Oryctolagus cuniculus: one gene and its partner. The protein of the gene in region 1 interacts with the protein of each later gene in a biochemical or structural test. Links are inferred from orthologs where the notes say so. Each region holds a gene or a part of one and is shown on either strand. Other genes may lie near its edges.

Region 1 (10,408 bases):
GAGAGAGAGAGAGATGTCCACAGAGGCTCAACTCTAAACCCAGCAAAGAGACAATAACAATGGTAACAGCAGCACCAAGGACCACGCGGTGTCGACAACGAGCCAGCACCGTCCGGCGTGCTTCGCACACACCCCCTCCCTTCATTCTCGAACAGCCCTAGGAAGTAAGCGCCATCGCCCCCAGTCTCATCTTTCACAGGAGGAAACCGAGGCACGGAGAGATTCAGCAACTCGCTCCATATCGTCTACCCACGTGGACAGAACCGAAGCCCGGGCGACCCGTGCGGCTCCGCACGGCTGCCCTGACAGCACCTCGGCTGCGTGTCAGCTGTCAGTCACCTGGGAGCTCGCCTGGCCAAAGCAGCTGCATTTCAGCAAGACCCTCGCTGAGTCCCGTGCACAGGGAAATTTCTCTAGTGAACTTGCAGACGGCCTGGCTCCTGCCCCCTCCTCAGCCCTCTGGAAAACCTCTGCTCCTTGCACCCTCCCACCAGAGTCAAGCCTCCAGGCGGGAGAGAACGACTGACCCTGACCGGCCCAGCCAGGTGATGGCTTTGCATAGCACCCCAGCAGCGGGCAGGCGGCGCACTCCTGCACTGCAGAGAGGGCTCACTCATTCCCTCCCGCGCTCCCTTGGGGCCCGCCTCCCCTGCACGTGGTCCGTCTCTCTGCCCTCCAATGAGTGCCGGCCGGGGCATTGGCGCTGGCAGTGTTGGAGGCTGGCCCCTCGCCCTCGGCAGCTCCGGGCTGAGCTCACATGGCCGAGGTTCCGAGCACACGGTCCTGAGCGAGCCGTTAAAGCTCTCTCTTTGAATTAGACAACATGTGCAAGTGAATCACATTACATAAGCACTTTGCAGCCGGAGGCGCCCAGAGCTGGAGAGGACCAAAATGGGATTTCCAAAAATACAGAGAGGATGCTGTAATTCAGAGTCCACGAGGCTGGCCCTTTAGAATAAAACGGGCAGGGACTTCGGTTAAGGACTTGTGTTGTGAGGGAAGGCTGGTCAGCCTTGGAAAAGGTGTTGTTTGTTGTGCACGGGGGCAGGGAGATGATAGTGAACCCTTCTTTGGATCCACAGTGCCCTTGACCAAGTTTCTCTGCCTCGAGCCAAGGTCAGCTAACCAGGCTGATGATGTCACCAGCCAGCACGGGCTGACTGCGCAGCATATTAATAGAAATTAATTTTCTTCTGATTACGAGAGCCTAAGCCCCGTGGAAAAGGATAACCTCAACTCAATCCACACAGGGATCAAATTCTACGCGATAAAAGTGTATTTGCTTTCTCCTAATCTGGGAGAAAGATGAAGAGGGTTTCCATCCTTCTAAGCAAATGGAAACATTCCTTGGGCAGCAGTGGAAAAGCCCCTGGGCCGTGCACCGGGGGAGGGGGGCGTGGGGAAACTCCATCTCCCCACCAGCAGACTCCAGCTCTCAACCCCCCACTCACCAAGTTCCCCGGGCGGACCACCCACAAGCACCACCCACAGCCCTTCAGCCACTGGGCAAGAGGCCATGCTGGTGCTGGCCAGGCACCCTGCAGAGAGCCCCAGCCTAGTGCATTACGACTGAGAACAAATGTTCTCTTTCTCCCGACTCCCTCTGTCCCTGAAGGGTCTGAAAGAGGCGTAGCGCCTGAGACAAGGACAAAACGATCTACAGGAAGTGTGAAAATCCTTGCCAATACCTATCGAAATGGCCACAGGGAGAGGAAGGGTGTGAGAAACTCCAAGGGCCTATTTTAAGTAACTCCTATTTTAAAACCTAGAAGCTGCACACATGTGCCCTTGGTTCTGCTTCTCCCTATAGAGCCTCCTTCCAGACGCAGCCAACCTGGGGAAGGTGCGGCTGGGGAGGATGACCAAGGGTATACCAGTTGGTGCTTGAGAACAACACATTCCGGAGGCAACCCAGAAACGTCCCAGTATCACCAGGGCAAGGAGTGTGCTAGCTTTCTCCTGTGCCAACCAACAGATGTGTTTCTTGGTTGCCTTTTCTCTGTCCTCGTCTGCTCTGACAAAGTGCCATTCCTAGGAGGCACACGTGGCACGGCGGGTTAAGCCGCCGCCTGGGCTGCCCACATCCCAAGTAGCCAGTGCCGGGTTGAGTCCTGGCCGCTACCTGATTTCAATCCATCTTTCTGCTGATGCATCCTGGGAGGCAGCAGGTGCTGGCCCAAGTGCTTGGACTCCTGTTGCCAACATGGAGACCCAGATGCTGTTCCTGGCTCCCTGCTCTGGCCTGGTTCAAACCCAGCTGACACAGGCGCGGGGGAGGGGGACAGTGAACCAGTGAGTGGAAGATTTCTCTCAAGTCTGCTTATCATATAAATAAATACAAATCTGAGCAAAAAGAAAGTGCCATTCATAGCTATTTTCATCTGCCTCCCTCTGCAGATGAAGGCTGTACGTGAGTCAGCGTAGGATGTGTAGGAGCGTAACAGAGCTCACAGGTTTGGATGCCCCCACCCTTCCCGGAGATGCCTCTCAGCGGCACAATGCCAGGATCCAGGAAGCCCACAGGAAGATTACCGCCCCGGAGCTTGCCAGAGGCGCAGAGGCACAGCGGGCCGGCACAAGTCCCCCCACCTCCAGCCACCCAGCCACGTGCAGGAGACAGCCTGCAGGCGGGGTGGAAGGCGCCCAGCAGCAGCTATCAGATTCGATCTGTTTGGTGGTATTTCACCTCTTTCTTGCGGAATGCGAATGCAAATACTAATTAGACTTCCTGCCACGGGGCACTGCCACACGGCACTGCCAGGCCGCATCCCAGGTGGCCACTCTGGTCTGCTGTTCTCTAGCTCGGGGTTTCTCAAGCTTTACTGAGAGCTTACAAGACCCTAATGCCCAAACCATAGGCCCAGGCCAGTCCCATCAGAATCGGGCAGGGGGCAGGGGGCTCCAGGCAGCATTTAAAGATCCTTATGAGATTCGACTGTGCAGCCAAGATGGAGAACTGCGGCTCTGGTCTGCCCCTCCCCGCGCCCCTATTTCATTTTTCTTACAGAAGTAGTTCTACCAAACTGGGGTTATTTCCACGTCCTCAACTAAAACGCGGCCCCGGGAATCCTGCGGCACTGCCATGCATCAGCTTAGTCCCCGCTGCACCCCGGCAGCACCCAGAGCAGCACCTGGAACCTACTAAGCACTCACTAAATAATCCCTCTCGGAATAGCTACATCCCTGTGTGGCCTCTGACTTCCGGATGTCACTCAGGCACCTGAGCTGCCACCCTCCTTTGCCCCCGCACTCCCTTGAGAGCACAGTTACAAAAGGGTGACCTACAAAAATCCATAAACACCTCGTTTCTAGCAGATGCAGTTTAATCAGCAACCGTGTTTTTGTTGTTGATTTTTACTTCCCCAATGCTACAAAGGAGTAAGCAGGCCTAAGCCATGTCTCTCCCTCCCCCTCCAAAAAATTCCATAAAAGAAACTCCTTTATGACAAGGTAACAAGTGGCTCCTATTCTATTTACTCTGCTCTGGTTGGCACACTGCCACGGGGAGGACAAAGTCTGAGGCTTGATTTAATGTCCACACTGGAGACGGTCATTTGAGGATGTTTGTCAAAGCCGGCCTCCTATCTATAGAAAGTGGAGCAGAGCTGGAGCAATAGTGCAGCTGAAAACAGTGTGGGCAGACTCTCCCACGACTATCTTTAGTTGTTCCTGCTACACACCGGGCAGGGGGGAGCATTTAATAGACCGACTGCCACGAGCGCTCTCTCCTCGCAGGGCACACACCTTGGAGAGGAAAGAATGGTGTGCCGAGAGCCCATGGTCTCCTGGGAACAACTCAGCCCATCTGGGCAGTGTGGCCACAAGCAAACATCCCCCAGATCAATGCAAATAAACCAAGCACCTGCCCCTGGTGTCTGAGGGTGATGGGTATGTGGGTATCAAACTCCTTGGTTCTGAACACAGCTTACAGCCAAAAAAATAACCCCCAGGATCCGCAGGGGGTGAAGCTGCCCCTTGGGTTCCCCACATCCCACGTCGGGGTAGGGAACGAGCAACCCGCGGGCCAGATAAGGCCCCTGAAATCATTTGGTCTGGCCCTGCCAAAGCAACCACAGATGGGACTTGAAATTCAATAAACCCATAGCAGGCTCATTTTACAGTTGATCATTTTGTTGGCTCACAAATGATGTTCTAAATATCCAAACGGCCTTTGGCAGAAAAAAAGCTCGCGACCCCACTGCTGGTTCCAGCCCTGGGGGCTCTGCTTCTGATCCAGCTCCCTGCTGATGCACCTGGGGAGGCAGCAGAGGGGGGCTCAGGCGCTTGGCCCCTGCCGTAGATACTCGGGAGACCAGGATAGAGTTCCTGGCTTCTGACTTCATCATGGCACGTCCCCAGCTGTTGCAACCATTTGGGGAGTCAACCAACGGATGGAAGACCTCTCTCTCTCTTGCCCTGCCTTTCAAATGAGTAAATATATAATATATATATTTTTAATTAAAGAAAAAATACTCCAACTATCGACTTGTTAACCCTTCCCAGGATCCTGTCAGCCCCGCCTCCTGGAATAGATGGGGAACTCCGACACTGTGGCATCCCGGGTCCCTATGCGGAACGGGGCACATCAGTCCATGAGAGAGCCGTCTACAGTGGCTCGCAGGTCCTTCTAACTCAACCAGGAGGAGGGGGAGGTGCTGTCTTGGGTTCCTGTCTAATTTTGCCAGCGAGGTCATGGCCGCTGAGAGGGCTCCCCAACACGGCTACGAACTGCTCTGGGGCTCTCGGGACACGGAGTCTCCCCACAGACGCCCTCGGGGTCCTCAGCCAGGACTCGCGGGAGGAGACCTTATCAATTCTAAGCGAGGGTCTCCAGACACCTCCAGAGGCTGGGCAGTGTGGGTGGAGGGAAGCCAGGGTGGCCGAGAGGGCGGATTCCAACAGTTTAGGACCCGCAAAGGCGAGTGTTAGAGACCCGCTGGGCTCCCTGCACGGGCATTCCCTACACCTGGAGACCTCGTCCTGCCGCGCCCGGCAACACCTGGGCAGGTCAACTTTGCGCCGTCAGGGTTCAAGCGCCTGCTCCGTGCCGTGGGGGTCCTGGGGTGCGGGGGTCCGGCGCTCGGAGGGAGGTGCGGCCCTGGCCCACCGCGCGCACCAGCACGCTGACCACGTTCCCTGGCCCCGGCTTCCCGCCTCCGGGGAGCCTGCGCCGTGCCCCTGCCCCAGCTGCCGCGGGCCGGGGGCGCTCGGCTGCGTCCTAACCGCTCGGGGTCTCCTCACCTCCATCGGTTGATCCCCACGGAGGAGGAGGCCGCGAACCAGGGGTCGAGGATGTACACGCAGCGCACGCAGCGAGCCCCGCGCACGGCCGCCAGCAGCGCCGGGTTGTCGTGGAGCCGCAGCCCTTTGCGGAACCAGTGTACCGAGGAGGCGCCATTCGCGCTGGCCGCCGGCGCGGGGACCGCCGCCGCCGCAGGACCCACTGCCGCCGCCGCCGCCGCCATCACAGCTCAGACTGCCGGAGCCACCGCCGCTCCGCCCCCGGCGGCGCCGCGAGCCCCGCCCACAGCCCGCCCTCTGACCTATGACGAAACCGCTGTTTGCTATGGCCCCGCCCCACAGTGGACCGCGGAGCGCCTCCGTCATTGGCTGGGCGCCTCCAGCCCGGCGATTGGCCCGGCAGCGCAGGATCCGGCCCCGCCCCCTCACGTTCCCGCCATGTGTCGTCCCCGCCCGCTAAGAGCCGGCCGGCTGGGCGAGTGACGCAGGCTGGCTGAGGCCTGGGGCGTGGCCTCAGGCTGGAGGGACTGCGGGTTCCCTTACGCGGGTCCTGTTCAGGGCCGCCTCTGGAAACAGCTGCTGGAGCTGGCGGAGGGTGCCGAGATACCAGACAGCGCCTTGCAGGACTGACAGCCTGCCTGCCTTGTCACCATCGGCATCGTCGCCACCCGGGTCGTCGGAATACGGCTGGCACCCGCTGAGTGCGGAGCAAAGACTGTCTCATTTGCTGCTCTCAAGTCTGCCCTGTCACTCCATAAAGCTATGGAACAGCGCTGTCGTCCCCATTTTGTCTTTAAAGGTCTGTTTATTTATTTGAAGGCAGCTAGGGTGTCTCCCATCCAGCGAGTCACTCGCCAAATGAGCGCAATGGCCAGGGCTGGGCCAGTCTGAAGCCAGGAGCCGGAAACTCCGTCCTGGTCTCCCCCCTGGGTTACAAAGCCCAAGCACTTGGGCCATCTTCCACTGCTTTCCCAGGCACCTTAGCAGAGAGCTGGATCCGAAGTGGAGCAGCTGGGACTCCAACCAGTATACAGCACGGGCCCTCAGTCCCATTTTAAAGATGAGGAAAGCAGAGGCGTTGCAGGTTGAATGACTTGCTTAGTATCATAAAGCTAATAAGAGGATCCCACCCATTTGATTCTGATCTCAAAGCATCTGCTCTTAACCCACGGAGCTATACTGCTGTCTGTGCCGAAATCCTTGGCATTTGCAAGTGGCAGGGTGCAACATGGGGAGAGTGCCCAGCCGTGCAGCAGTGTGAGGACTGGAGGCCGTGGGCTCAGATAGTAATGAGGCTGCCGGACAAATTTGTCTGACCACCGGGTCTGCTCAGGATAGCAGCGCTGTCCTGGGTCCCTGTGTAGCAGCGACAAAGTGTTGATGGTGGGCCAAGACGGCCCGGGCAGGCGGTAGCTCTGGGGTCAGGAGGCAGAGGACGGTCAGTTTCAGCTTGGCTGCAGGCTGAGCCCATGCTTGGAATGTTTCCTGAACTTGAGAATGAGCAACTGAGCCCAGGCTTGGAGCCTTTCCTGGACTTGAGAATGAGCTACGCAAGAATTTAACAGCTTGGTTGCATTGATTGGCACCACCCAGCGTCCCTGCAGTCCTAGGCTCTCTCTCACTTCCAGGGCTTTGCACAAGCTGTCCCCGCAGCCTAGCTCACACGCCCTGTCCCTCCCCACTTCTTAACTTCCGTTTGCCCTGTGTCACTGGCTCTGTACAGATGTCACCTTCTTGCGATGTGTCCCATCTCAGTCTGTGCCACTTTCCATCACCGGCCATTAGCGCATGGGTCTGGGATTTCTTGCTTCCTTGTCTGTCTGTCCCATTAGACTATAAACTCCCGGAGGGTAGGAGCCCTGGTTTACTGGCAGTCCTAGTTCCAAAGTCCAGCACTGTGCTTGGTGCTTAACGCTCACAGAGTGTTTGAGTAAAAATTGAACAGGTCCCGCAGTCTCAGCTTGGCAGGGACCTTCAAGGTCTAACCCTGGCCCGGTCCTGGCCCCGTCCTGACTTTGAACCCCCTCTCCGCCTGCTTCCTGAGTAGATACTGCCCCTCAGGAGTTTTCCCATGAAGCTCTGTGTGTCTGCCTCTCCTGCCTCCCCTTCTCTCCACAGGCCTGGTGCTCTGCTAAGGATGAACAGGGCCTGTGGGCACCTGGTTCTAGAGTTACAGAGAGGCAGAGAGAGAGAGAGAGAGAGAGAGAGAGAGAGAGGCCTTCCATCTTCTGATTCACTCCCCAAATGGCCGCAATGGTTGGGTAGAGCCAGGTCAAAGCCAGGAGCCAGGAGCTTCTTCTGGGTCTCCCACGTGGGTGATCCTCTGCTGCTTTCCCAGGTGCATTAGCAGGGAGCTGGGTGGGAAGTGGAGCAGCTTGCGCCTCTATGGGCTGCTGGTGTCACAGGTGGCAACTTTACCAACTACACCACAACACCCACCCCTGTTCTCCACTTTCTTAGTCTGTGTGATAGGGAGGGTAGCAGTACCTGCGCCAGAGGAAGTGTCCTTATACACAGTTGTCAGTGGCTGTTCTGAACAGCAGGATGTGTGTCTGATTTTGTATTCCTTGCAATACCAAGTCTGGATCTTACACGCTCAATAATTTGCTAAGTGAATAAAAGATTTTGCTTATTTTTAAATAAAAAGGAAGACTTGGGACCTGAACTGTGGCGCAGCAGGTAAAGCTGACACCTGCAGTGCCGGCACCCTGGCTGCTCCTCTTCTGATCCAGCTCTCTGCTCTGGCCTGGGAAAGCAGTAGAAGATGGCTCAAGTCCTTGGGCCCCTGCACCCACATGGGAGACCAGGAAGAAGCTTCTGGCTCCTGGCTTCAGATGGGTGCAGTTCCTGCCATTGAGGCCAATTGGGGAGTGAACCAGCAGATGGAAGACCTCTCTCTCTGCCTCTCTTTCTCTCTCTGTATAACTCTGACTTTCAAATAAATAAATAAATCTTTAAAAAAATAAAAAGGAAGACTGATGGCCCCAATCCTAACCAATTATTGCCTATCTCCACGTTGCCCTCTACGCTTTCTCCACACACATCGGGTTTTGGAGTTGTCGTGGGGCACAGGTGTAGAGTGGCCTTACCTCTTGTTTTGCAGCACCGTGTCTGTTTTGCTGAGTCACTGTGTTTGTTATTTGTGGTTTGTACTATCTTCAAATTGCTGCAGATGAATTGTTTTATTGAGGAACTTCACACTGTTTGGTGATGTCAACAAGGCAACCTTGGAGAATCAGGACGGGAATCTAGCATTGGGTAGAGTCCTGGAGCGCAAAGTCCGCTTTCGCTTTTACACTTGAAAACAAGCAGAGAGGCCCTGGCACGTGGCGCAGCACTCAGGACTCTGCCTGGGCTGCCCACTGCTCTTACAGGACTTCTGAGTGCCGGCTCCAGTTCCAGCGTCCTGCAGGTGCGCACCCTGGGAGGCAGCAGATGATGGCCCCAGCACTGGAATGCCTGCCACCCACATGGGATACCACATGCAGTTCCTGGCTCCTGGCTTCGACCTGGCCCAATCCAGGCTGTTGTGCACATTTGGGTCATTTGGGGAGTGAACCAGCAGATGGATAGAAGATGTCTTTTTTTTTTTTTTAAGATGTATTTATTTATTTGAAAGGCAGAGTTACAAGAAAGAGAGAAGGAGGAAGAGACACACAGAGAGATCTTCCATCTGCTGGTTCACTCCCCATATGGCCAAAAGGGCATGAGCTGGGCTGATCCGAAGCCAGGAGTCAGGAGCTTCTTCCAGGTCTCCCACGTAGGTGCAGGGGCCTAAACACTGGGGTCGTCTTCCATTACCTTAAACTAGGCGCATTAGCAGGGAGCTGGATGGGAAGTGGAGCAGCCGGGCTCGAACGGGAGTCTGTATGCCAGTGCAACAAGCGGCTAAGCTCTGGATAGAAGATTCTTCTCTCTCTCTCTCTCTCTCTCTGCCTTTAAAATAATTTGTAAAGGGTCATAGGGAAATTGGAGAGAACAAAGGCACTCGCAAATTGCTAAGAAGGCGAACGGTAACTGGGTATTATCTCTCGGTGAGAAATGAGAGCTGACGACTCGGTAACTGTGCACCTCGTTATATAAAAGCACCTGTGAATAGAGGTTACCACGAGGATTGCAAAGGGCTGTTCCTCTTTTCCGCTACAGGTGGCACAAAAGCACCTGTCGCAAACTGGCAGAGGAAGGTTTGAAGGTGTTACAGATCTGCCAGGTGGCGCTGCATGGCTTTCCTTCCCAAAGATACTCTGGAGACACATCAGTCCCGTTCTGTCTCCTTTTGTTAGGGTTCCCCCGGGAGACTGGATTGGACACCTTTCTCCATGAGCTTCCAGCCGCGCTTTGTGTAAATATTTGATGACTGGGTGAAAGGTGAGCGGCGCGGAGGGAGGGCGGCCCGGCGAGGGGAGGTCGCGCGCCCTCTAGTGGCGGGACCGGGAGGGCGCCGCCCGGCCCGGGGCTCTGCGGACCGCAGCGGCGGCCTCCGGGGCCAGGACCAGCGCTGCGCAGCCGCCCGGATTCCCCAGCCGCCTGCGTGGATGCGGGGACGGAAACGCTGGCCAGACTCCCTGAGTTCCCTTTCCGCCTCTGCCGTCCGCTGGCAAGATGGCTTCCGTGGACAGTCGACTTCCTGTCCGTGCCTCCGTGTCCTCATTTGTGGAACTGGAGCAAGAAAGCATAGAGGCGTTGGTCAGAATCCAGACGGACCCACGCGACTTTGGACATCAGCTCTGGCTTGGGGGCACACGGAGATGCCTTGAACAGGCACATTACATCTGAGAACTTCTGCTTATCAAGATAATATTATCAAGAGAGGAAAAGGGGCCGGCGTTGTGGCGCAGCGGGTGGTCAGTGGTCACTGCCTGTGATGCCCATATGAGCACCAGTCCCACTGCCCCACTTCCCATGCAGCTCCCTGCTCATGCACCTGGGGGAGCAGCGGAGGATGGCCCGAGTGCTTGGGCCCCTGCACCCGTGCGGGAGACCCGGATGGAATTCCAGGCTCCTGGCTTTGGCCATGCCTAGCCCTAGCCATTGCAGCCATTTGGGAAGTGAACCAGCAGATGGAAGATCTTCACAGTTAAGTCTTTTTTCCCCCGAGATTTATTTATTTATTTGAAATGTAGAGACACACAAAGAGAAGAAGACACAGAGAGAGATTGGAAGAGAT
Region 2 (10,357 bases), on another chromosome or scaffold:
AGTAAGTATCACAGAAAATTAATTCTCAATCCAGTATCAGAAAATACATGAGGAACAACCCACCTTGAGCAAACACTGACACATGTCAGGATTACATTTTCATTTATTTTATATGATTAAAATTATTTATTTTATTTTTTTAAGATTTACTTTATTTATTTGAAAGATAGAGTTACACAGAGAGGTCTAGACAGAGAGGTCTTCCATCTGCTGGTTCACTTCCCAGATGGCCGCAACAGCCGGTGTTGCGCCGATCTGAAGCCAGGTGCCAGGAGCTTATTCTGGGTCTCCCACATGGGTGTAGGGGCCCAAGCACTGGGGCATCTTCCACTGCTTTCCCAGGCCACCGCAGAGAGCTGGATCAAAAGAGGAGCAGCCAGGACTAGAACCGGAGCCCACATGGGATACCGGCTCTTCAGGCCAGCGCTTTAACCGGTATGCGCCACAGCGCTGGCCCCTAAAATTATTTTAAAAAAGAAATAAAAACAGGAGAAAAGACCATCAAGAAAGATCAGGCAGGGCCAGGTGTTTGGTGCAGTGGCTAAGAAGCCTCTTGGGATATTCACATCTCATACTGGAATGGCTGGGTTCACTCCTGACTCCACTCAATTCCACCTTCCTGCTAATGAGCGAACTCGAGAGCAGCAGGTGATAGCTCAAATACTTGGGTACCTGCTATCCATGTGGGAGACTCGGGTTGAGGTCTGGACTCCTGGCTTTGGCCTGGCCCAGCCCCAGCTGTTGTAGGCATTTGAGGATGAACCAACAGATGAAGTTCTTTCTCTGTCTCTGCCTCTGTGCCTTTCAAATAAAAATGAATAAACAAAAATTCACTAAAAAAAAGCATTTATAAATAAAAATCAGGCAAAGATTTGCTTAGCAGAGACTAAACAGAACTTAAGAGAGAAATAGTGACTTGGAAGACAGTTCAGAGAAAATTGTAAAGACAGAAAAAAAGACATTAATAATATGAAATTAAGAGATACAGAGGTAGATCTATCATGGTAGAAAAATTCCAAATAATTTGTGAAACACCTCTGCCCAAAGAAGATGGAACATAATATCCCACCCTTTCAGTGTTGACCGTATGTAGTGACTTCCTTCCAAAGAGTACCATACAGAAAGGAGAAAAGAAAAAGATTTCAGTAGAGCAACTTGACCTCAACATTTAATTAATGTTGGTATCAGTAGGAATAAGTCATGTTGATAGACATACTCTTGATATGATATGATGTGAATGGGACTTTATACCTTTGTGGTTTCCTCCCAAACGTCAATAATCCAAGCCTAGTCACCAGAAAAACATGAGACCAATCCCAAAACACTGCAAAATACTAAAGAATACTGCAGCAGTACTTCAAAAATTATGCCATTTTAAAAAAAGGAATTTCAGGTTAGTGTTTTGAGAAATCACTACATTACTTTAATCTATCCTGATTACTGGTGTACCATGATGGGAGGTGGTTGTGGGAGTGATATGCCCTTGGTGGAGGAGGTCTACTACTAAGGACTTAAAAGCAATAATAAAGCTGACTAATGGTTGATCTGCTCTTCATTATCACAGGCACTGGCAATTCTTACCAGGTTCTATAATATCTTCCCCACTGTATTAACCTGCTCCAATGCTACCCTCTACCCTACCCCACCCCTGCCCCAGGCAACTGATCTTGACTAATATTAATATTAATTGATAATTGGAAATAAGTAGTGGCTGATGGAAAAATAAGTATATTTCCTTATAAAATTTATTTTCAGGTACTTGAAAAGGAGAGAGATCAATTTTCCATCCACTGGTTCACTATACTAATGCCTGCAGTAGTCAGGGCTGGGCCAGGCTGACTCTAGGAGCTCAGAACTCCATCAGGGTTTCCCATGTGGTTAGCAGGGGCCCTAGCCCTGTTGTTATGAGCACATTAGCAGGAAGCTGGATCAGAATTTGAGCAGCTGGGACTCAAACCCGAAATCCAATATGGGATTTGGGATCTTAAGGAGCAGCTTAATCTATATCACTACCCCACAATGCCTGCCTCCAAATACATTTCTTGTTTAAAAAAGAAGTGAAAGGCCGGCCGGCGCCGTGGCTCAATAGGCTAATCCTCCACCTTGCGGCGCCGGCACACCGGGTTCTAGTCCCGGTCGGGGCGCCGGATTCTGTCCCGGTTGCCCCTCTTCCAGGCCAGCTCTCTGCTATGGCCAGGGAGTGCAGTGGAGGATGGCCCAGGTGCTTGGGCCCTGCACCCCATGGGAGACCAGGAAAAGCACCTGGATCCTGGCTCCTGCCATCGGATCAGCGTGGTGCGCCGGCTGCAGCGGCGGCCATTGGAGGGTGAACCAACGGCAAAAGGAAGACCTTTCTCTCTGTCTCTCTCTCTCACTGTCCACTCTGCCTGTCAAAAAAAAAAAAAAAAGTGAAAGGGGCTGGCACTGTGGTGTAATAGGCTAAGCCTCTACCTGCGGCACTGGCATCACATATGGGCGACAGTTCATGTTCTGGTTGTTCCACTTCCTATCCAGCTCTCTGCTATGGCCAGGGAAAGCATCAGAAGATGGCCCAAATGCTTAGGGCCCTGCACCCACTTGGGAGACTTGGAAGAAGCTCCTGGCTCGTGGCTTCTGGCTTCAGATAAGCCCAGCTCCGGCAATTGTGATCATTTGGGGAGTGAACCAGCAGATGGAAGACCTTCCTCTCTATCCCTCTCTGTGTAACTCTACCTCTCAAATGAAAAAAAAAAAAAAAGTGAAATAAAATCTTTAGTTAATAGTAACAGGGAAGAGGAGGCATTCAATAGGTAAAGTGTGCCAAGATCCTTGTCTCCTTTAAAAGAAAATTGTGACGGGACTCTGATTAGAGTATGATAAAATATTAATGTGATGTAACATGCACTAATCAAGTTTGCTGATTTAGTTGCTTTGTTGATCATATTTTTAATTAAACAAAAGAGATTTATTTATTTGATTCGCTCCCCAGGTAGTAGCAATTGTCAGGGCTGGGCCAGTTCCAAGCCAGGAGGAGGTCCATCTGGGTCTCTGGATCTCCCAAGCACTTGGCGCCATCCGCCTATGCTTTTCCCAGGCCATTAGTAGGAAGCTAGGACTTGAACCAACACCCATATGGGATGCCAGCATTGCAGGCTGTGGATTACTGCTAAGCCACAACACCGGCCCCAGTCATAAACACTCTCAACCCCCCTTTAAGTAGATGGGCTTGTTTTTCTTCCTCTAATATTATCATTACCTTTCTTAGAATGTCCTATTGTCCCTCACCATTCAGTCATTGAGGGACCTAAAAAAATGTGGCAGTTCAGGTACATCCACATTATTAGGTTGTTAGAAGCTGTCTGTGCAATTTGATTTGGCCATCTGATAGCTAGGCTTAAAAAAAAAAAAAAAAAAAAAAAAAAGGAGCAGGAAACTCCAGTGTTGTGGCCTAACAGGTTAAGCCTCCTACTGTCACCTGAGATAGGCCTGGTTCAAGTCCTGGCTGCTCAACTTCCAATCCCAGTTCCCTGCTAATGTGCCTGGGAAAGCAGCAGAAGATGGCCCCAGTGCTTGGGCCCCTGCACCTGTGTGGGAGACCTGGATGAAGCTACTGCCCCCTGGCTTCCTCCTGGCCCTTGCAGCCATTTGGGGAGTGAACCAGTGGATAGAAAAAGATCTCTTTCTTTCTCTGTCTCTCCTCCTCTCTGTAACTTTGTCTTCCAAATAAATGAAAAATAAATCTTAAAAAAAAAAAAAAAAGAAAAAAGCACTGGCATTTCCCAACATTGACTCTTAATGTCACTTTACATATGGCTTCCTGGTTTTATACTTTTGGGGAAGAGGAACAGTGAAGGGCTCCCAAGATACCTCTACCTTCCAGTCTACTGCCCATGAATCAGAGTTAGAAGGCATCTCTGGATGGAAAATGACGTCTTGTTTCTTTTATTGTTTTTTAGGGTGAGGGATGGTGAGTGACTCAAATTACCGCAGTGCACCTTCCAGCTTTAAGAAAGCCTGCTAGCATCCAGTCGAACTCTGCAAACAAGCTAACTGGGTGTCAGGGACGCACAGGATTTGATTTCCAAAAGGCTTCCCTACGGGCCATCTCTTACATAGCCAGGCGTTACACTTTCCCCTCTGTGTCTCTCTCTACACATTTCAGGAGGCTCTCTACTTCATGAAGGAAAGGTGGTTTCTCACGAGAGTAGTAACTCGGTTGATAAAGACTTTAGGAAAATCGGGAATCACGAGTGTTTTGAAAACTATCTGTAATCCCAGCGTCCTTGCAATCTTTCCGCCACTACATCTGTAGGTCTGATGCCCGGCTCCACTGGGGCCCGTGCTGACCCCCGCAGGAGCGGAGGGGTGTCGCTGCCGCCGGCGACTGTCCACCGTCCCGCGGCCCGGAGTGCCCCACGCTCCTGGGACACGCCCTCCTGCTTTTGGCTGCTCCACCTCCTTACACTTTCCAGTCTGAACCGCGTCGAGCTAACGCCAGCCTGCCCACATTGCACTCCCAAACAAGACGTCCCCTCACAGCCAGAGCCGCGGCCCCTTGGGGAACCGGGAGGCGGACGCCGCGCGGCGCGCGCTCTCGCCCAGGCGGGGCTTCCTCCGCGCCCCGCCCCCTCCGCCGCGGACACGCGCCCGCCCCCTCGGGCGGGGACGCGCCGGGGAAAGCGCGCGCCCGCGAGCCCCGGGCGCCATTTTGGACTCGGTGTCTGGGCCGAAGAGCTGGAGAGCTACGCGGCGGCTGCAGCTCGCTGAGCGGGGAGCCTCTGGCAGCGACTGGGAGTCCCGGGGCCGAGACGTAGACAGCGCGGGGCTGAGAAGGAAGGCGTCTCGTCGGGGCAGCCAGACTTGCAAAGGTGGAGCCGCGTTGGCGCCCGCCGGGGGACCAGCGCCTCGGATGCGGGCGTCGCACGGGGGGCCGCGGCCGCGGGAGCGCGAAGCAGGGGGCCCCAGGGGCCTCATGTGAGAGCCGCGGGACCAGCGGCCGCCGTCCCCGGAGCCGGGGGTGGTGTGTGGGGGAAGCCGCCCCCGACAGCAGGTAACGGCGGACGGGCGGGGCCGGGAGGGGCTGCGGAGCAGCTGTGGACGGGCCGGGGGCGCGGGGCCCCGGGCGCGCGTGGGCCGCTCCGCGGGAGTGCCGGGCGGGGCGCGGGGCGCAGCACCCAGCACCCAGTCCCTGGAGCCTGCTTGGGGGCGTTGCCCCGCGGTGCCTGCTTCAAAACATGTCAACAAGGCGTGGTGCGTGCGCGGCTGGGGCGGCAACTCCGCCCGGCGCTGTGGCTCTGGGCGGGGGCGGTGTCCGGCACCGCGCTGCTCCGCTCTGGCCGGCTTGTCGGCTGCTGGTAGCCTGAGATGGCAGAAGCCACCTCCAGAGTAGGGCGCCTGGAATCGTCGGAGAGCGCCAGTCCGTGAAGGTGGTGCGGGGAGGCGGGGACGCGCTCGCCGCGTCGCCGAGTGGAAAACTTGGTCAACTTGGGTTGAGCAGCGTCGCGCCTGCTTTGGGCGCGTGCGGCCGCCTCTCGGGTTGCAGACAGGGATCGGGAAGCAGCCCAGTAAACGACTGGCCTGCAGCTCCAAGCACACAGGTGAGAGAGGTGGTGGTTTTGTTGCTAATGGTTCCGGTCGGGTGACCCAGATCTTAGAGTTCGAATCTTCCCCCAGCTTTCCCTGAAATACTTTAGAAGACTGCAGTCGGCTGCCAGTTATCTATTTATGACCACTGGGTAAATTTTAGCCACCATGCTTTCCCGGTACCATTCAGTCCTGAGAGTTAATCTCTTTGGTTTGTTTTATTCTTGTACCCCTGCCAAAGATTGCATATTAGTATTGATGTTGGTGCAGAAGATGGTGTCCGAACAGGGCCTTTAGAGCTAAATACAAATGGTCTTTTAAGGCGACTTGCATGTCCGGTGTACATAGCGGTGCAGGGAAAGACACCCAGCTGCTGTTCTCTTAACTGGTGATCCAGTTGACTGCCGCTTCCATAGTTTTCAGAACTGTCAAGTTAGCTCACCAGCTGCCTGTGCAGCTCCGCCAGGATGTAGTCGGTCCTCATTAACTTGCTTTCTGGCACTTTGTAATGATAGTAGCCTCTCGCTGAAAGCTCTGGCGGTCAAAACAGCATTATTGAGATCCCTGAAACGTTGCAGGAAATTAAACTGCCTGAGCTTTATAGAGTTGTGCTTTTGGTGCTCTAGGAAGTCGTATTGGCATTTGTTGTTCAGTGTGGTCCTGGTATTCAAATATGAGGGTGCTTGCACTTTGACTAAAAGTAGGAGATATCAACACCATTGATTAAATTATGTGTTGACTGATGGGTACTCTGAATTGGTTAACTTTCTGTTCAGTCGAGCTTCATTTGTAAACATTTAACGGACTTTTGAAAGCAGTACAGATTTTTATGTGAATAAATGAAACCACCTTGGAAAAATTGGCATTTGAAAGTTTTATTAGGTGTCCACACATTACCTTCTGTTCATAAATAAGACTATTACAGAGACCATCTTTATTGGAATTGACCTTACATTATTCTCCAGTGCTTACCGTATGTAATTATGCCATATTGCAGTAATAATAGATGATTTCCAGAATTTTTTTAGTCATTCATAAGCTAGTAAGTGCTTTAAAATGCTTTGATGATCATTTGGCCTTTTTATATCTAGATCAACAGATTACTGTACATTAGTGTTGCATACTTTTCAAAATGTCAGATTTTTCCCCTTATTTACTTGCAAAATAGGACAATAATAGACAGAGTAAGGCTTCTATTGGTAGGACCAATAAAGCATTAGCAAAAATTATTGCATGACTAAGACTGTCATTTATTTTGAAGTTTTTATTTATCTGAGAGGCAGAGAGAAAGACAGAGTAAAGTCTCATCTGCTGATTCACTCTTTGAATGCCTTTAATGCACAGGGTTGGTCTAGGACTGGAGTCAGACCTGCGATCCAGGTCTCCCATGTGGGTGCCAGTAACCTAATTATTTGAGGCATCACCACTGTCCTCTGGGGTGTGCATTGGTGGGAAACTGGAGTCAGGAACCAGAATTGGATTTTGAACCTATGGTACTCTAATGTGGGATGTGCGTATCTTACTTGCTAGAGTGAATACCCACTTTGTGGCATTTTATTTTTTTTATATCTCCATCTACTTCAAAGTCAAATGAATAATTGTGTTTTTGAGTAGTTCTAGTTTTAGAACACATTTCTCTGGGAAACAGGTGATTAGCATCTTGTTGTACTGCTTCATTCTTTTTGAATCTCTGTCAAAATTCTGAATAGTTTTAGGTAGTCAGAAGAGAAACTATAAGCCCTAGATGGCAAACTTTGTTTCATGATCCATTTGTATATGCTAAAACTACAGTAAAACTTCAGAATAAATGAAGCATAAAAATGGGTCATAATGACTGGGTTATTTCAACCTCTAGTAGGACACTGTTGTTAGGAGAGTTTTTTTTATATGAAAGATGATACTGTATGGGCAGGTGTTGTGGCACTGTGTGTCAAGCTGCTACCTGGGATAACTGCAATTGCATATTGGAGTGCTGGTTCAAGTCCTGGCTATCCCACTTTGATCCAGCTCCTTGCTAATCTGTCTGAGAAGCAGCAGATAATGACTCAATTCCTTGAATCCATTCCACCCAAGACGTAGACCCTGTTAAGAGTTCCTAGTTCCTGGCTTCAGCCTGCCCTTGCCCTGGGTGGTGCAGCCAGCTGGCTTGTGAGCCAACAGATTCTGGATATCTTTATCTCTCTCTTCCTCTCATTCTGCTTTTCAAATGAATAAATCTTAATAACAAAAGATTACATTGTAGAATCTACTATTGTTTTTCTAAACACACAGTGAAAAGAATGTGGAGGAGTTGTATTCCTTAAAACTACCCTTTTGCTGTCACTTCTGTTATTGTTTTCTCCCTTCCTTTCCTCCTGCTGAATGGGCAGCGTTTTTACTTCACTGTATTCATGGTTGTAAGTAGGAGTGATGACGAATACACAGTTTATTGTACATGTGTTAAGATCTCCTGGATAGATGCTCATGGCATGAAGGCCCATGGGCCTGCTGTTAACTCTCTACTCTTTAGCCCTTGATTCTCTCTCACAAGTTTTGCTAGCTACTGGATGAAGAAAGTCTTAGAGACATACTTGGTTTACAACGATGCACATGCACATCCTTTATCCCACATGGGATTTAGACATTTTTATACACTGATGTACCAAAAAAGAGGTAGGATGCAAAGCCTCCAAAAGGCTTTGACCGAAGTCTAGGTCCACACTCTACCCACTCGAACTACTCTGTAGAGTAGTGGGCTCTAAACTAAATACGAGTACCAGTGAAGGATGTGGTGTTACTTCAGTTTAGAATCTGCTGTACTTGTCTAACAAATCAAGATCCTTTTTAAAAAATACTACCACAGTGCAGTGCCTTGATGTTAAAAGAAATGTGTCAAATGTAGAAAGGAAATGCTTTGTAAAAACAAATTAACAGGAATAGTTAATAATTTAGTGAATCTACTTTTGGTTTTACCTGAGCTCTTCTCTGCCCCCACATACACACACCCACAGACCTCATTTAAAAAAAAAAGAGACTCATTCTTTGCATTCTGGTAGGTAATCTCTGTTTTACTCTTTAATACTAAACTGCTTTTCTGCAGTAGAGTTCAGTGATCATCTTTTTTTTTTTTTTTTTTTTTTTGACAGGTAGAGTTATAGACAGTGAGACAGACAGAGAGAAAGGTCTTCCTTCCATTGGTTCATTCCCCAAGTGGGCCACGGCCGGCGCTGCGCCGATCCGAAGCCAGGAGCCTCTTCTGGGTCTCCCATGTGGGTGCAGGGGCCCAAGGACTTATGCCATCTTCCACTGCTTTCCCAGGCCATAGCAGAGAGCTGGATAGGAAGTGGAGCAGCCGGGTCTCGAACCGGCACCCATATGGGATGCCGGCACTGCAGGCGGTGGCTTTACCCACTACGCCACAGCTTCGGCCCCTCAATAATCATCTTTTAATAACCATAATATTTCATTTTTCACAAGAACACCTTATCTTATTCCCCTTTTGCAAACAAGCACAGGAAAGTTGAGTGATTTACTCAGGGCTACATAGCCAATGAAAAAGCCTCCCCCACCTGTTTTCTTTAATCATAATGCTATTCGGCCTTGAAAAGGTTATCTTTCAAGGAAACAGGTGAATTGAAGGTAATAAGAATACACAAAATAAACATGTAAGTGTCATTAAGAAATAAAGTGGGGAATCATTGCAATAGGAAGTGATGCATTAGAAGTAACTACAGGCTGGCACCATGGCTCACTGTGACATGTGGCCATGTGTCTGTGGCACCGGTACCCCGGGTTCTAGTCCCGGTTGGGGCGCTGGGTACTAGTCCCGGTTGCTCCTCTTCCAGTCCAGCTCTCTGCTATGGCCCGGGAGGGCAGTGGAGGATGGCCCAAGTGCTTGGGTCCCTGCACCCGCATGGGAGACTGGGAGGGAGCACCCGGTTCCTGGCCTCAGATCAGCGCAGCGCCGGCCATGGTGGCCATTAGAGGAGTGAACCAACGGAAGAAGACCTTTGTCTCTGTCTCTCTCTCACTGTCTATAACTCTCTCTCTGTCTCTCTCTCTTTGTCTAACTCTGCCTGTCCAAAAAAAAAAAAAAAAAAAAAAAAGAACTACAAACAAGACTAAACAATGCGTAGTAGGTATGGGTTTGTTTATTTTAAACAAAAGTTGGAAAAGTCTAGCAGTAACACATATCACAGACAAATCAATGTGGCAAGATCTGTTGCCTGCTTAATTCACAGCCTCTCTGGAGATGCCTAGGGATCCTGGCTTGCCTTGAAATCAAGAACTGAAATATAGCAGATATCCTCAGATGACTTTTAAGAAACCTTTGGAGGGGCTGACGCTGTGGCATAGCAGGTAAAACCGCCACCTGCAGTACCGGCATCCCATAAGGGTGCCTGTTTGAGAGCCGGTGCTCCACTTCCAATCCAGCTCTCTGCTATGGCCTGGGAAAGCAGTACAGGATAGCCCAGGTCCTTGGGCCCCTGCACCCGCATGAGAGACCTGGAGGAAGCAACTGGCTCCTGGCTTCAGATCGGCACAGCTCCGGCCTTTGCAGCAATCTGGAGAGTGTACCAGCGGATGGAAGACCTCTCTCTCTGCCTCTCTGTAACTGGGACTTTCAAGTAAACTAAATCAATCTTTAAAAAAAAAAAAAAAGAAAAAGAAACCTTTGGAAAATTCCATTTTAGGTTCCCTAATGAGTTAGTTGATTATGGTGTTTGAGATACAGATTCTTGGTGTAGTTTCAAAGCAATAATAAATTTTCCCTCCGGGTAGTACAGAATAAAGGTAACTGCTTGAAAACACCTGC

What was found.
Region 2: the proteins of CRY2 (region 1) and FBXL3 form a complex in vitro, tested with the Homo sapiens proteins (2 studies listed by BioGRID, with this or other methods). The link is inferred for Oryctolagus cuniculus from reciprocal best matches to the Homo sapiens genes CRY2 and FBXL3.

What each region holds. Positions count from the first base shown.
Region 1 is NC_091432.1:20,109,746-20,120,153, forward strand, and holds the start of CRY2 (cryptochrome-2), read right to left. Parts: upstream 5,493-10,408; 5' UTR 5,466-5,492; coding exon 5,242-5,465; intron 1-5,241. UniProt on the Homo sapiens protein: Transcriptional repressor which forms a core component of the circadian clock.
Region 2 is NC_091440.1:35,443,854-35,454,210, forward strand, and holds the start of FBXL3 (F-box/LRR-repeat protein 3), read left to right. Parts: upstream 1-4,707; 5' UTR 4,708-4,847; intron 4,848-4,895; exon of another isoform or gene 4,896-5,029; intron 5,030-5,269; exon of another isoform or gene 5,270-5,576; intron 5,577-10,357. UniProt on the Homo sapiens protein: Substrate-recognition component of the SCF(FBXL3) E3 ubiquitin ligase complex involved in circadian rhythm function. Plays a key role in the maintenance of both the speed and the robustness of the circadian clock oscillation.